Coturnix japonica: one gene and its partner. The protein of the gene in region 1 interacts with the protein of each later gene in a biochemical or structural test. Links are inferred from orthologs where the notes say so. Each region holds a gene or a part of one and is shown in the gene's direction. Other genes may lie near its edges.

What was found. The genes of interacting proteins can lie anywhere in the genome.
Region 2: the proteins of RP2 (region 1) and ARL3 form a complex in vitro, tested with the Homo sapiens proteins (2 studies listed by BioGRID). The link is inferred for Coturnix japonica from reciprocal best matches to the Homo sapiens genes RP2 and ARL3.

The regions. Positions count from the first base shown.
Region 1 is NC_029516.1:117,347,207-117,353,132, reverse strand, and holds the start of RP2 (protein XRP2), read left to right. Parts: upstream 1-2,627; 5' UTR 2,628-2,772; coding exon 2,773-2,895; intron 2,896-5,926. UniProt on the Homo sapiens protein: Acts as a GTPase-activating protein (GAP) involved in trafficking between the Golgi and the ciliary membrane.
Region 2 is NC_029521.1:20,420,773-20,426,787, reverse strand, and holds the start of ARL3 (ADP-ribosylation factor-like protein 3), read left to right. Parts: upstream 1-1,931; 5' UTR 1,932-2,048; coding exon 2,049-2,051; intron 2,052-6,015. Other genes in the region: SFXN2 (sideroflexin-2), read right to left, coding at 77-162, 236-311, 450-548, 919-1,089, 1,338-1,498. UniProt on the Homo sapiens protein: Small GTP-binding protein which cycles between an inactive GDP-bound and an active GTP-bound form, and the rate of cycling is regulated by guanine nucleotide exchange factors (GEF) and GTPase-activating proteins (GAP).

The DNA.
Region 1 (5,926 bases):
AATGTAAAGGATGCTGGAGTGCCTAGAGCCAAAAAAAAAAGTCCTGTTAACAGCAGCTTAAGTAAAAAAGTAAGGGCTGCTGGACTGTGCTTCAGTGGCTGTTAAAGCTCATCTTCATTTAACCATTTGGCATGTGCGTATGTGCCTTGCTGAGTCAGCACTGTAACTTGCTATCTGAATTGTTGTCCAATTGAAAATAAGCCACAGACATACTGTTCTTAAATTTTATTGTTGTTTCATTGCATTTGCATCGAACATCAAACTAGAGAGTCCTGCCTGTCCCAGCTCAGTGTTCAGGTGGGACGCAAGCTTCTCTGGCAAAATGTATGTTAGGCAACACTCAGGCTGTGGCAGCTCTCTTCCTATCACAAAAAGGGATCTAGGATCTAGGCTCTTGTGTAAGATCTATGAAATGATAATTGCAGAATAAGAATGTGCTTTGCAGCTGAAAACTTAATTTGCTCTGTTTGAGTAAGGGCAGTCAGAACATGAGCAGCCCTTAAATAAACTGCAACCCCTTTCAGCTGCAAAGGTTGGGAACACCAAGAATGTTTTTTGGAACTAAAGATTTTGAAGATATGAACTGTTCAGCTTTCCTGTTTGTGCTTTTCCTTGTTGCAGTGGGTCAGTTTGCTGTTGTGTGTTATTTGTCTCACCTGTAATTCACCATTTCACACGAGTATGAACAAATCTAATCTTAACTAGGAATCCTTTACAAAACACAGATTAGCTAAGCTGCCAGTATCTCAGGTATGGGATCTGTAATGCTTCCTGGTAGGGAAAACATGAGCTGAGATTTTAGGGAACAGTAGTATTGAAGTCTTTTTGTTTTCACAGTCTTCCTAATCTTCATGTCTTACAGGAGAAGTTTTCGACTTCTCTATAACCAGCAGGATGTAAAAGCTGCTTTAAACAAGACATTCTGCAGATTTTTCACAACGATACGATCCCAAGAGCTTTAAGAACATGCACACAGAACACAAGGAGATTGTGCAAGTTTGGCTCTGCGTGTTGTGGTGAGCTGCCAGCAGTGCAGAGAGCCAGACTCTGCCCAGTGTTACGAGGAGTGCAGATGGGCACGCTGCGAGCTTTCGCTTCCTTCACTACCTGTTTAAGACCTGGGCAAGCTTCCAGCTTCCAGTATTTGCTGAGGATAAGCCCCTTCCCTGTACCTTGAGGTGATACATGGGAGTGTCAGAAAAAAGAAAGGGAAGAAGTTGGGATCTCTGCACTGCGAAGCTGTGCAGGGATGGAAGCTGGCACAAAAGGCATGGATATGCCAAGCTGCTGCACCAAATCTTTTATGACATAACCTCTACAATGAAAATGTCTTATTTTTCAGTTACCTAGAAATTGCTAGCTGGGGATCAGAAAGCTCCGTATTACAGTGTAATTAGGTGTATTTCATAACATCCCCAGGAGGGAAGTCACTAATTACAGCAGTTTGTTGAAATTAAAGTAAGTATAATAATGCTTGGTAGTGACTGCGGTGTTACTGCAATCTTATATTACTACACTTCAGGCTACAATCATATCAAATCTCACAGGCCAAGAGGGTTGAGTCTGCCTGGCATATGAATGGGGAACGAAGAACTGAGCCAGGCATTTGCAATTTCTGAAGAAGTCATGTGCTCATAAGCCATATTAAATTGGTCTGGAAGAAATATCCTGGTGCTTTGGTGTCAGGAAACAGCCTGAAGGTTTGGAGATAAAAAACTAAGACCTGTCCCAATCTGCTGTAGCCGTATAAAACCCTGATTTCTTGTGGTACTGATGATTTTGCAAGACAAGGATATGTATCATGATAGGGTGGAAAATGGGCATCAGTCACCCCTTGCCTTAGCAGCTATTTCAGCCCTTTCAAAGAGTTTACTCCCCTCCTGGGAGTAAGTTCCCTTCAGGTATTGAAAGGCTGAAGGGAACTTACTCCCAGGAGGGGAGTAAACTCTTCAAAAGGGCTGACAATAGCAGGACACCGGGAAATGGTTTTAAGTTAAAAGAGGGAAGATTTAGGTTGGATGTTAGGGGGAAGTTCTTCACTAGGAGAGTGGTTAGGCCCTGGAACAGGCTGCCCAGGGAGGTTGTGGATGCCCCGTCCTTGGAGGTGTTCAAGGCCAGGTTGGACGGGGCCCTGGGCAACCTGATCTAGTAAATGTGTATGTTTGGTGGCCCTGCCAGGCAGGGGGGTTGGAACTACGTGATCCTTGAGGTCCCTTCCAACCCGGGTCATTCTGTGATTCTGTGATACTTCTGGCCTGTGGGTCTGCTTCCTCTTTTCTGCTGGCCTGGGCGTGCTGAGCTCGATTAAGAACACTTCCCTGCTGCTTTTACAGCTTTCCCTAAATCAAGTTTACTTTGAGCGTGATGGCAATTGCTAAGATTTCTCCCTCAAACCCAATACAGGGTTTGAATTTTGGGTGGTCCTGTGTGAGGCCAGGGGTTGAAGTAGGTGATCCTCGTGGGTCGCTTCCACCTTGGGATATTCTGTTCCGTTAAAATCGGGACAAAACGTCTCAGAATGACGGTAGTCTCACGTAAAACACGACTTTGTCCGCACAAATCTCCCCGCCTCTCCGGGCCTCCAGTTGTCGCGGTCGCTACGGGAGACGAAGGCGGGCGGTGCAGGCGGAAGCGGGGCGGGGCGGTGAGGCGCTGCGCTGGCGCTGGGTCCCGCACGGCCTCTCCCCGCGGGTCGGGCTGGGCCGGGCCGGGTCGGGCGGTTCCAGTGGACGCGAGGCGGTTTTCGGTTGCCGGGGAGGCGGTGGTGCCGCCATGGGCTGCTTCTTCTCCAAGCGCAGGAAGCCGGCGCAGGGCGGGCAGCAGCAAGGAGCCAGCCAGGAGCCGGCGGCCGGCGAGGAGAAGGCGCCGCAGTACAGCTGGGACCAGCGAGCCAAGGTACGGGGCGGAGGGAAGGGAGAGCGGAGTGTGGTTTCCTGTCAGGCTGTGTGCCGGCAGACTCGGCTTCGTCCTCGCCTCGAGGCAGCCTGACCCGTTAGCATGGAGAATACGCTCTCGGTCCGGTGTGATCTTCGTTGTCTGGGCCCCCAGACCTTTAGGCCGTGTTGTCCAAGTGTCAAAAGGAAGATGTGTGAGCTCATGTGAATGCTCAGCTCGCTTGTGTTTCTAAACTTAGTGAGGTGTTCCGGGTTGGTTCCTAAGGCTTTCAAGTGGATTAAGAAAAGCTGTGTTGGAGATGAGCGAGGGACTGTGTGGTGTAGCCTTTATCCTGAGGATAAAGAGGGCTGAGCTGGACTGGGCTCGTTGTTTTGTAGGGTTCTTGTGGAGGCTTCTTATGGTGAGAGAGCGCTGTACTGAGAACCTGCCCTAGAGTAAGTACAGTGAGTGTGTGCCAAAGTACGTAACTAAATGAGCATTCAAAACGATATGACCTAATCACAGAGCACATTCATCAGCTAAAGGTTAACTCGTACGAGCCTTTCTACATGCTGTTTTACTTACATGGCACTAACTTCTAAAACTGTGTAACAGGTGGAAAACTGGGGTACAGACACACTCGACTGGAAGGGCAATGAACCTTGTTGCTGTGGAGGTGGCTGTTAGCATGTGGGGAGCAGGATCGAGCTAACGTGAGGTTTTATAGTGAGAACAAACTCTCACTGTGGGGAAGCATGTAATGTGTTGCATGTAGAACTTCCTCCCTGTATGAAATACTCAGAAAAACTGGAAGAATCAGTAAGTTTGGGCTGTTCTACTGAACTGCAGAAGCCATCAAATTAGCTCCTTACTTTGGTACTACATAGATCAAGAATATTTATGTCATGAGCCAGACCATTTCTTTTGCTCTCTGCAACCTTACTTTTGTCTTTAACTACGAGCTTGGTACATTAAACCAGCAGAGCAGAGCTGAGATGCTGACTTTTAGGCAAGGGAACACTGAGCTCTTTCTGCACTGCATTTGTTGATCACAGTCTGTGTTAAGTGTTCGTGTGGTAGCTTTAGGTATTCTCTCAGACACATTATCTCTATTGCTGGTTCATTCTTTTTTATGCAGCACACATAAGCATACTTATTCATTCCACAATTTGTATTCGACAGCAAAGTTTGATTGGTGGCAGCTGGAAAACTTGTGGCGCTGGGGCTCCTTGATCATCAGATTTGTGTTCTGAACTCTGAAAACATCAACTCAGTCAGAAGATGTGAACTTTAAAAGCCATTAGCGTTTCCTGTTACTTTTAATACGAGCATGTCAGGAGTGAAGTGTGTTCTAATTTCAGGCTATTACACACAGCGATGCTGTTCTGGTTATGTAGTGCAGCGCTGCAAGCAGAGTGCAAATGTCTACAGTTTGTTCAGGATATCCAGTGTACATTATTACAGATGGATAAATCTCACTGCACAGAGGCTCCAGTTGTCTTCCTGTTAATTCAAGCTATGCTGACATACTTAGTGTAGGCAGCACAACATGGGCACACCGGGCGCAAGTGGTAGAAGTGCCGCTCTGCTACACAGGAGGTTTGAATCCCGGGGGTTGGACTCGATGATCTCTAAGGTCCCTTCCAAACTGCATGAGACTGTGATACTGTGTGTGTGTGCATGATTGTCTGTACAGGGATGTGAAACGAAGTGACTGCTAGTTGACAGCTGTGCTGGCAGAAGCTCTGAACTTGAGCACTTCTTCCAGCAAAGTTATTTCTTCCACTTCTGAAGCACAGCATTGTTAGTGTAGGCTGTCCTAATTGTGTTCTTTGGGGGAAAAAAAAAAAAAAAAAAAGATTACTGCTGGTGTTGTGTAGCTGAAGAGTAGTATGACAAAGACTTTGTGACCATATAACTCCAGTGTAATAGCCCTGGTATTGGACCATATTGTATAAAATTAAATATGAAATGCTTTGAGATGCTGTTAGATTACTTGAAAGTAAGGAAAGACATGAAGAACTTATTCTGAAAACAAAACGTGTTCTGTTTCTTGTTTCGATGGGATTCTTAGTCCAGATAAATAACTAGGAGAGTGGTTAGGCCCTGGAACAGGCTGCCCAGGGAGGTTGTGGATGCCCCGTCCTTGGAGGTGTTCAAGACCAGGTTGGACGGTGTAGAGAGTGTTTTTTACAGCTAGCTGAGAAGGGTCGTAAACACGGTGCAGTTAATCAAGCAGCCATGCCACCTGCAAGGACAGTGAGATCAACAGGATGCCCTGGGATGGTGAGAAACTAACCATGGTTTTGTGAACTCGGCAAGGGAGTAACTTTCAGGATGATAACAACAAGCTGCAAAGATACTCGGGGATGGTATGTAATTGGGAACCAATGATGAGCTCCGCTTTTGCAATATGTATGAGCTAATTATCTGTATTATAAAGGTACACGCAGCCAAGGAATAAACGAGAATAGCTGATCATATGTCAATGACAGGTGTGGTTGTCTGCTTTTCTCCCGCCGTTCTGCAACAGGACGGGGCCCTGGGCAACCTGATCTAGTAAATGTGTGTGTTTGGTGGCCCTGCCAGGCAGGGGGGTTGGAACTACATGATCCTTGAGGTCCCTTCCAACTCGGGTCATCCTGTGATTCTGTGATTCTGTGATAGAGCACAGCCTGTTACAGACTATTTTCACTACGTAACATCCTGGAGACTTGTCATATCCCTTTCTGGCCAAATGCGAAAGAGGAACTTGGTGATGCCAGAATCACCTTGGCCTTCAGCTATAATTTCATCTACAACACAAGACTGCACTTCTGGTCTTGGTCTCCCTTTTCCTTTCCTACCTTTCTGTATTCTTAGTGGCTAAGCAGCATTGGCATACAGAACCGGAATAATAACTACAGCAATAGCAAAAAACCAACTAAATGAAAAACCAAACCACAACCAAAGAAGAGAACCTCACAAACAGGTCTTTAACTCACCACATAAATCACAGTTTTCTGTTAGTTACTTCACGTTTGGTGATTCTGCTGCAGTGCTCTGAGCTGAT
Region 2 (6,015 bases), on another chromosome or scaffold:
ATCACACAGATCCCATCCCACCTCTCCCATCCTCCCTTGGGGCCAGGGAGCAGAGGCAGACCCCAGATGCACTCACTGTTGCCTCATCATTGGGATGTTCACACAGTTGGCAGCAGCTACGGCTGCAAAAGGGACCCAGCGGGCAAGCAAGGGAGGAGCACGCTGCAGGACAAAGGATGGGATCAGCATGGGGTGGGATGCGGCCAGGAGCTGTTGCAACCCCATCCCTACGTACCTTGGTGTAGAGGTTGAGTCCCACAGCAGTGGCCAGGGCTGTTGAGGTGGCTGTGACGTAAGCCACTCCTATTTGCCTGGTGATTTGCAACAGATGCATGGAAATATAAAATAAAACACTGCCTTTGACACTGAGATCCTCTTCCTTTGGTGCCTGAATGTCTTTTTGGTGCATCCCACAGGCACCAGGTGTCCCATCACAGGGGCACACTTACGCCAGAGAGATGGGGGACGCAGCATTGCGGTTGGTATAGTTGACAATGGCGTTGAAAGATTGGTTCACCCACTGCCAGAACACCACAGCTGGCACTGTCCTGCAGAGGGAAAAGGGCCCGCAGAGCACCCAGGTGCCATCAGGGAACAGATAAGATGCCCTCTGTACCCTTGTCCTGGTGTCTGCTGGGGGAAACTGAGGCACGGCAGCCTGAAGTCAAGGAGTGAAGCAGGGGCAGGGCTGGGAAATGAATGTGTATGAGAGGGTCTTGCAGACAGCACAGGAGGAGGCATAGCCCTGAGGGGTTTGGGATGAGAATGAGATCCACCTGGCCCTCAGTGATGCATGCAGCAAGCTCATGGGGACAGAGGTGTGTGAGAGCAACCCACTCCTGAGCCCATAGCATTAGAGCCCCTAGAGGAGCTGAGGGCCATCCAGGCTGTGTCCCAACTTGTGTCCCCAGCTCTCACCGGTAGAACTGCAGCATGCAGCCAGTGAGGGCCATGCCACCCGGCACCTGGAAGGACATCCTGCCAATGAGGTTCATCTTCTCACCACTGTCAGGGTGGAAAGCCGAGTCGTACAGTTTCTTGGCATAAAGCAGCTGCTCCTGGCTGCTCCCCGGTGGCACCATCCCGGCCCTGAAAGGCCGAAGTCACAGCAGCTCAGCCACGATAGCTCAGGGCTCCCAAAACCCCAATAAACACCCACAAAAACACCTCTGACGGATCATAGAATCTTTTGAGTTGGAAGAGCCCCTTAAAAGTCATCTAGCCCAACTCTCCTGCTACAAACAGATACATCTACAGCTCCATCAGGGTGCTCAGATGCTGCACCAGCGCTCGGGCAGGTGCCAGGCACAGCCCCAGCACCACAGCTGTGTGCTCACCTGCATCCTGCCACCACGGCCTGCGCCCGGTCCAGCTCCCCCTCCGGCACCAGCACAGTGCGCGGGTCGGTGATGTTGAAGAAGTGCCGCAGCCGCCCCATGAAGGTGCTCTGATCCCAGCGCGGGGCATCGATGTCGAAGCCGAGGGGCACAGCAGCCATTTTGGGATAGCGCCGTGCTGCTGCGGAGCGCTGCACCGAGTCAACTGCTGCGGGTTTATATTTAACAGCTGGCTTGGACTTTCAGCGACCCGAGGCGCTGCTGCCGCCGGCCTCCTGCACTGCACACTGATAACCGCACACACCCCACGGCATGCACGCTTCCAACGGTGCTAAGCCGCATTCCCCCCCCCTTCAAGGCTGCTGACTGCACACCCGTGGAGCTGCACAGCCACCCGGTGACGTTCATTGCAATGCATCGCATCGCGCAGTCCCCACTCAACCCGCGCCCCCACCCCACGTGTCCCTACCTGCGCGGCACCCAAACTTTTGGCGCGCCGCGTGGCCGCCCTCAGCCAATCAGAGCGAGCCGAGAGGCCGCGCCCACCTGCCGCGTGCTCTCAGGATGGGGGCGTGGCTACGATTGGCCCCGCCCCCTCCCGCGGGCCCCGCGCGCGCGCTCCGTACGTCCGGCGGGAAGCGGTGACGTGCGACGTAGCGGCGGCGTGTGTGTGACGCAGTTGCCCATGGTAACCCCGCTGCCGCGTAGAGGATGGTGAGCGGGGCGGGGGCGGCGGGCCGGGCCTGGAGGGAAACCGGGGACATGGGGGGGAACGGGGGGAGATCGGGGACATGGGGGAGACGGGGGAGACTGGGTGGGCAGGGACGGGCCGCGTGGGTCGGGTCGGAGGAGATCGCTCGGCCCTTGGGGCGTCCGGCCCGACGGTCGGGGCGTGGGGGGATGCGTGGGGTCGGGGGGAAGCGGAGCCGCAGAGGCACCGTTGGCCCGAGGGGAGATGGAAGGGAGGATGGGCTGAAGGGACACGGCAGTGATGGGGGCAGCGACCGAGCACCGAGTGCTGGGGGAGCTGTGACCGGGGAAGGACCATGGACAGGGCAACCAGGGGGAAGGGGGGGTGGTGGTGGTGGTGGTGATGGTGGTGGTGATGGCCACAGCACAAGACATGGGATGTTGGAGTGGAGCACGAGGATGCTCAGAGGGATGGAGCACTTCTCCTATGGAGACAGGCTGAGGGGCTGCGCGTGTTCGGCCTGGAGAACTCGGCTGTTCAGTATGGCTTCAGTGTGGCCTTCCCAGAGAAGGTTTCCCCATCCCTGGAGGAATTCAAGGCCAGCTTGGATGGGGCCCTGGGTGAGCTTTAAGATCCGTTCCAACCCATCCGTCCTGTGCTGGTTCCTGGGGGCTGCAGAAGTTGAGGGAGCTCCAGGAGGGCATGCAGAGTTGGAAGGGCTGTTGATAAATAGCCTTAAAAGGGGAGCTCAGTCTTGGCAAAGAAGCCTGGGTGAAGGAGCTGGGTGTTTGGGCTGAGACACTGCCCAGGGACTGGGAGAGACCAGGGTGGGATGACCAGTTTGGGGGATCACTGTACCGTGCCAGTCACTGTTGGCTGGCTAGGATGGGTTGCTGGGATTTGAGTGCTCTTGGGTTTTCTGCCATGGGCTGAGGAAATGGGGACAGCACAGGCTGAAGAGAGAAGAACTCATTGTGGGAAGGAGTAGAGGAACTTTGGTGCTAGTGAGAGAAAGAGACGAACCAGAAGGGAAAGGAATGCTCAAGTGTGGAAACAAAGTATTTGACGGGGAGCAGTGTTCACTGAGAGGAATTGGAGCCTCACTGTGAAGGGTCTGGTAAGGACAGAGGGCATCGCTGGGAGACAGATGTGTGGTGAGGGTGAAATGTTGCCTGTATCAGGTTAGGGTGGGGCTGAGTGATAGACTTGGGTGCTGGATGCTGCAGTAGTTGGGGTGGGATGGGAGATGCTGGTGGAATCCGTCAAGGACTGTCAGGAAAGGATGAGTGGGGATCAGCAGAGGGGTGGCTGGGGAGCTGCAGCTGGGGTACAGCATGTGCAGAGAGCCCAGGCTGAAGGAAATGGTCATGTGGGAAAGAGCTTCTGTAGGGCAAAGTTGTGTTTTGTCCAGGAGCCCCCTGGATTCAAGCTGTATTAAAGCACAGGAGGAGGCATAAGTGAGAACAGCAAAGGCAGCTCCTCATCTTTGCTGAGTTGATGCTGGCTGCATCCCCACCTGCCGTGCCACAGAGAAAGAGATTGAGATAAAGACTGTGAGACCTGCTGTATTTTAGATCAGGCGATGATGGAGCTTGTCACACCAGGCACCAAAGCCATCACAGGATGGACATCTGCTGTGGAGATGAAGGCAGCTGCCTCCAGCAGCTTTGTGGGACACATTTGGCCTGCAGCTGCTACCAGCCAAATCTGCTCTTCTGCTTTGTGATGTCCTGATAAACTGGTGTAGTCTGGGATCTGGCTGTTGTTATGTGAGCGCTTTGTGCACGGGGAGGGTGGACTGGGTGTTTTCCAGTGCTTGTGCTATTTGCTACAGCATTTTAATGCTTCCTAGTCTATTTTTCATTTCTGAGAGTTCTTGGAGTTGTAGCCTCTCAAATGGTGTGGGTAAAGGACTGGCTGGGCTGGGCAGCAGTTCTGCTTGCTCCCATTCCAGTGGTAAGATGGTTAATGCTGACGTTTAAATTATTTCACTGCTCATCCGAGTAAGCGCAGAGGGGAAGTGTCTTGTTCTGCAGAGCATACCAGCATTTCTCACAGCTGTGAGGCAGGGGTGCTGGAAGGTCGTAGGTGGAGCACAGAGGGAAAGATGAGCCATAAAAATGCATAGCATGAGAGATGCGTGGCGCTGAAGGCTTTGGCTCGGTTGAGCAGCACGTGTGCTGGGCTCACAGCAAGAGTGAAGGGAGATGTTACATGAAAGGGTGAGCAGCCTTCAAGAGTTGTGGAAGTGCTGTGTGAAGCAGAGCTTGCGTCCTGCTTGTCTACACCAAGTGAGATGGTTGTTGCTGATGGGTAGCAGGGCTGGGGGACGACCTGAGTTCTTCTAAAGCTGTTGACTGAAGATGACACTGCTGCATCAATCCAGGCCTGTCAATGCATGGCCCCACTGTGCAGCCAAGGAAACTGAGTCACGGAGCGGTTGGATGACACCAGGCAGATCTTGGTCAGAGAATGAAGGACCGACATAGCAAAACGTGTAGTCAGACATCTTCCTCCTGGCCTCGAGCTCCCAGTTGTAACAAAAGCAGCAAGTGTTGCTGCCTGTACTGCTCAGAATTTTCCTTTTGCCCCTTGTCTGACATGGAGGCTGTACCCAACCGACCCCATTAAAACAAACCATTTTCCAAAGCTATAGCAGTGCTCTGCTGCTCCAGTTTCCTAGCAGAGCTGCACGTCACACATCTTTCATTTATTTACTGGTTGTGCGATAGCTTTATGGGAAACGATGTGCAGGGAGTGCAGCATACCAACAACTGGAGGAGGTTTCCAAGTACTGCACTGCTGAAGGGGAGACAAAGCGGCAGGCATCAGCAATGCCCTGCACAGGGCAGAGCGCTTCCTTGAAGTCTGCAAAGAGCAGAGGAGTTTGATTTTAATTATGAAAGGAGAACTCATGCTGGTGTTGGTTAATGCACCGAGAGAGCGAGTGCCGTGTGACCTCTTTGACAGAAAACTGTGTTAGTAGGTTTGAGCTGGAAGAGCTCTGTAGGTGACTCGGCTCCAATAAATGTGGGATTTCAGCACAGAAAAGAAAGTCTGCATTGAATGACACCATATGGTGGAGACATGCAGCAAGCAAATGATTTCGTTGGGAGTTCTGCCAGAGTAAGAAGTATTGAATAAACCGTGCTCAATAGATTAATTTACTTCGGTTGTGTTTTGAAAAAGGCTGGGTGATTTTATGACCATTAGTGACATTTGCAGTTCTGCAGCCGAAGATAAAGGTAATCAAACGTCATTCTTCAGGGCACCAGCTAATCAGCGCAGTTGTCAGGCCCGCTCCCCTCCTCCAGCTCCGTATGTGCAGATCCACACTCTGAACTGCCAATGGAGCCTCAAACATCCACTGCTGAAAGCAGGAGATTGGGCTCAGCAAAACCTCTTGTCCTTCCCCAAGCACCGCTTGTCCCCACTGCCTTCATCTATTTAGAAATGGTGAACTGCTGCTGCATTGCTTGCTGAAAGTCGGTGGTGAGCAGGGCTGTGCTGTGCTTGGGGCGCAGAACAAGGAGACGTTCCCCCTCCGTGGTGAGAGATAACAGAGCGATAGGAGGAGAGTGAATTCGAGGCAGGTTTGAACTTGGCCCCTTCACTGCCAGAACCTCCTGGAGGACTGTAGGTGTGGCAGAGGCAGAATTAGCAAGAGAATCGTGGGCCGCTTTGTGGGTGTTGGGTGAAGTTTCTCCCACGGTTGTAGGGGAGGCACAGAGGGGCTAGAGGACAGAGAGAGACACTGTGTGCTGCTGGGGAATGGAACCGGCACCTCCGTGTCTCATGAGCTGGCTGGAAAGGGCCAGGAGGTGAAGGTCTGACTACAGCCATGGCAGTGGGGAGCCTGGGCAGGGAGGGGGTGGGCTATGCAATCACAGTGGCTAGAGAGGCACAGGGCTTGTGGCCGTGGTGTGTCTCGGTGAATGGATTCCATTTCAGCTGAATGCCCACATCCACGAGATAAGAGATTGCTGG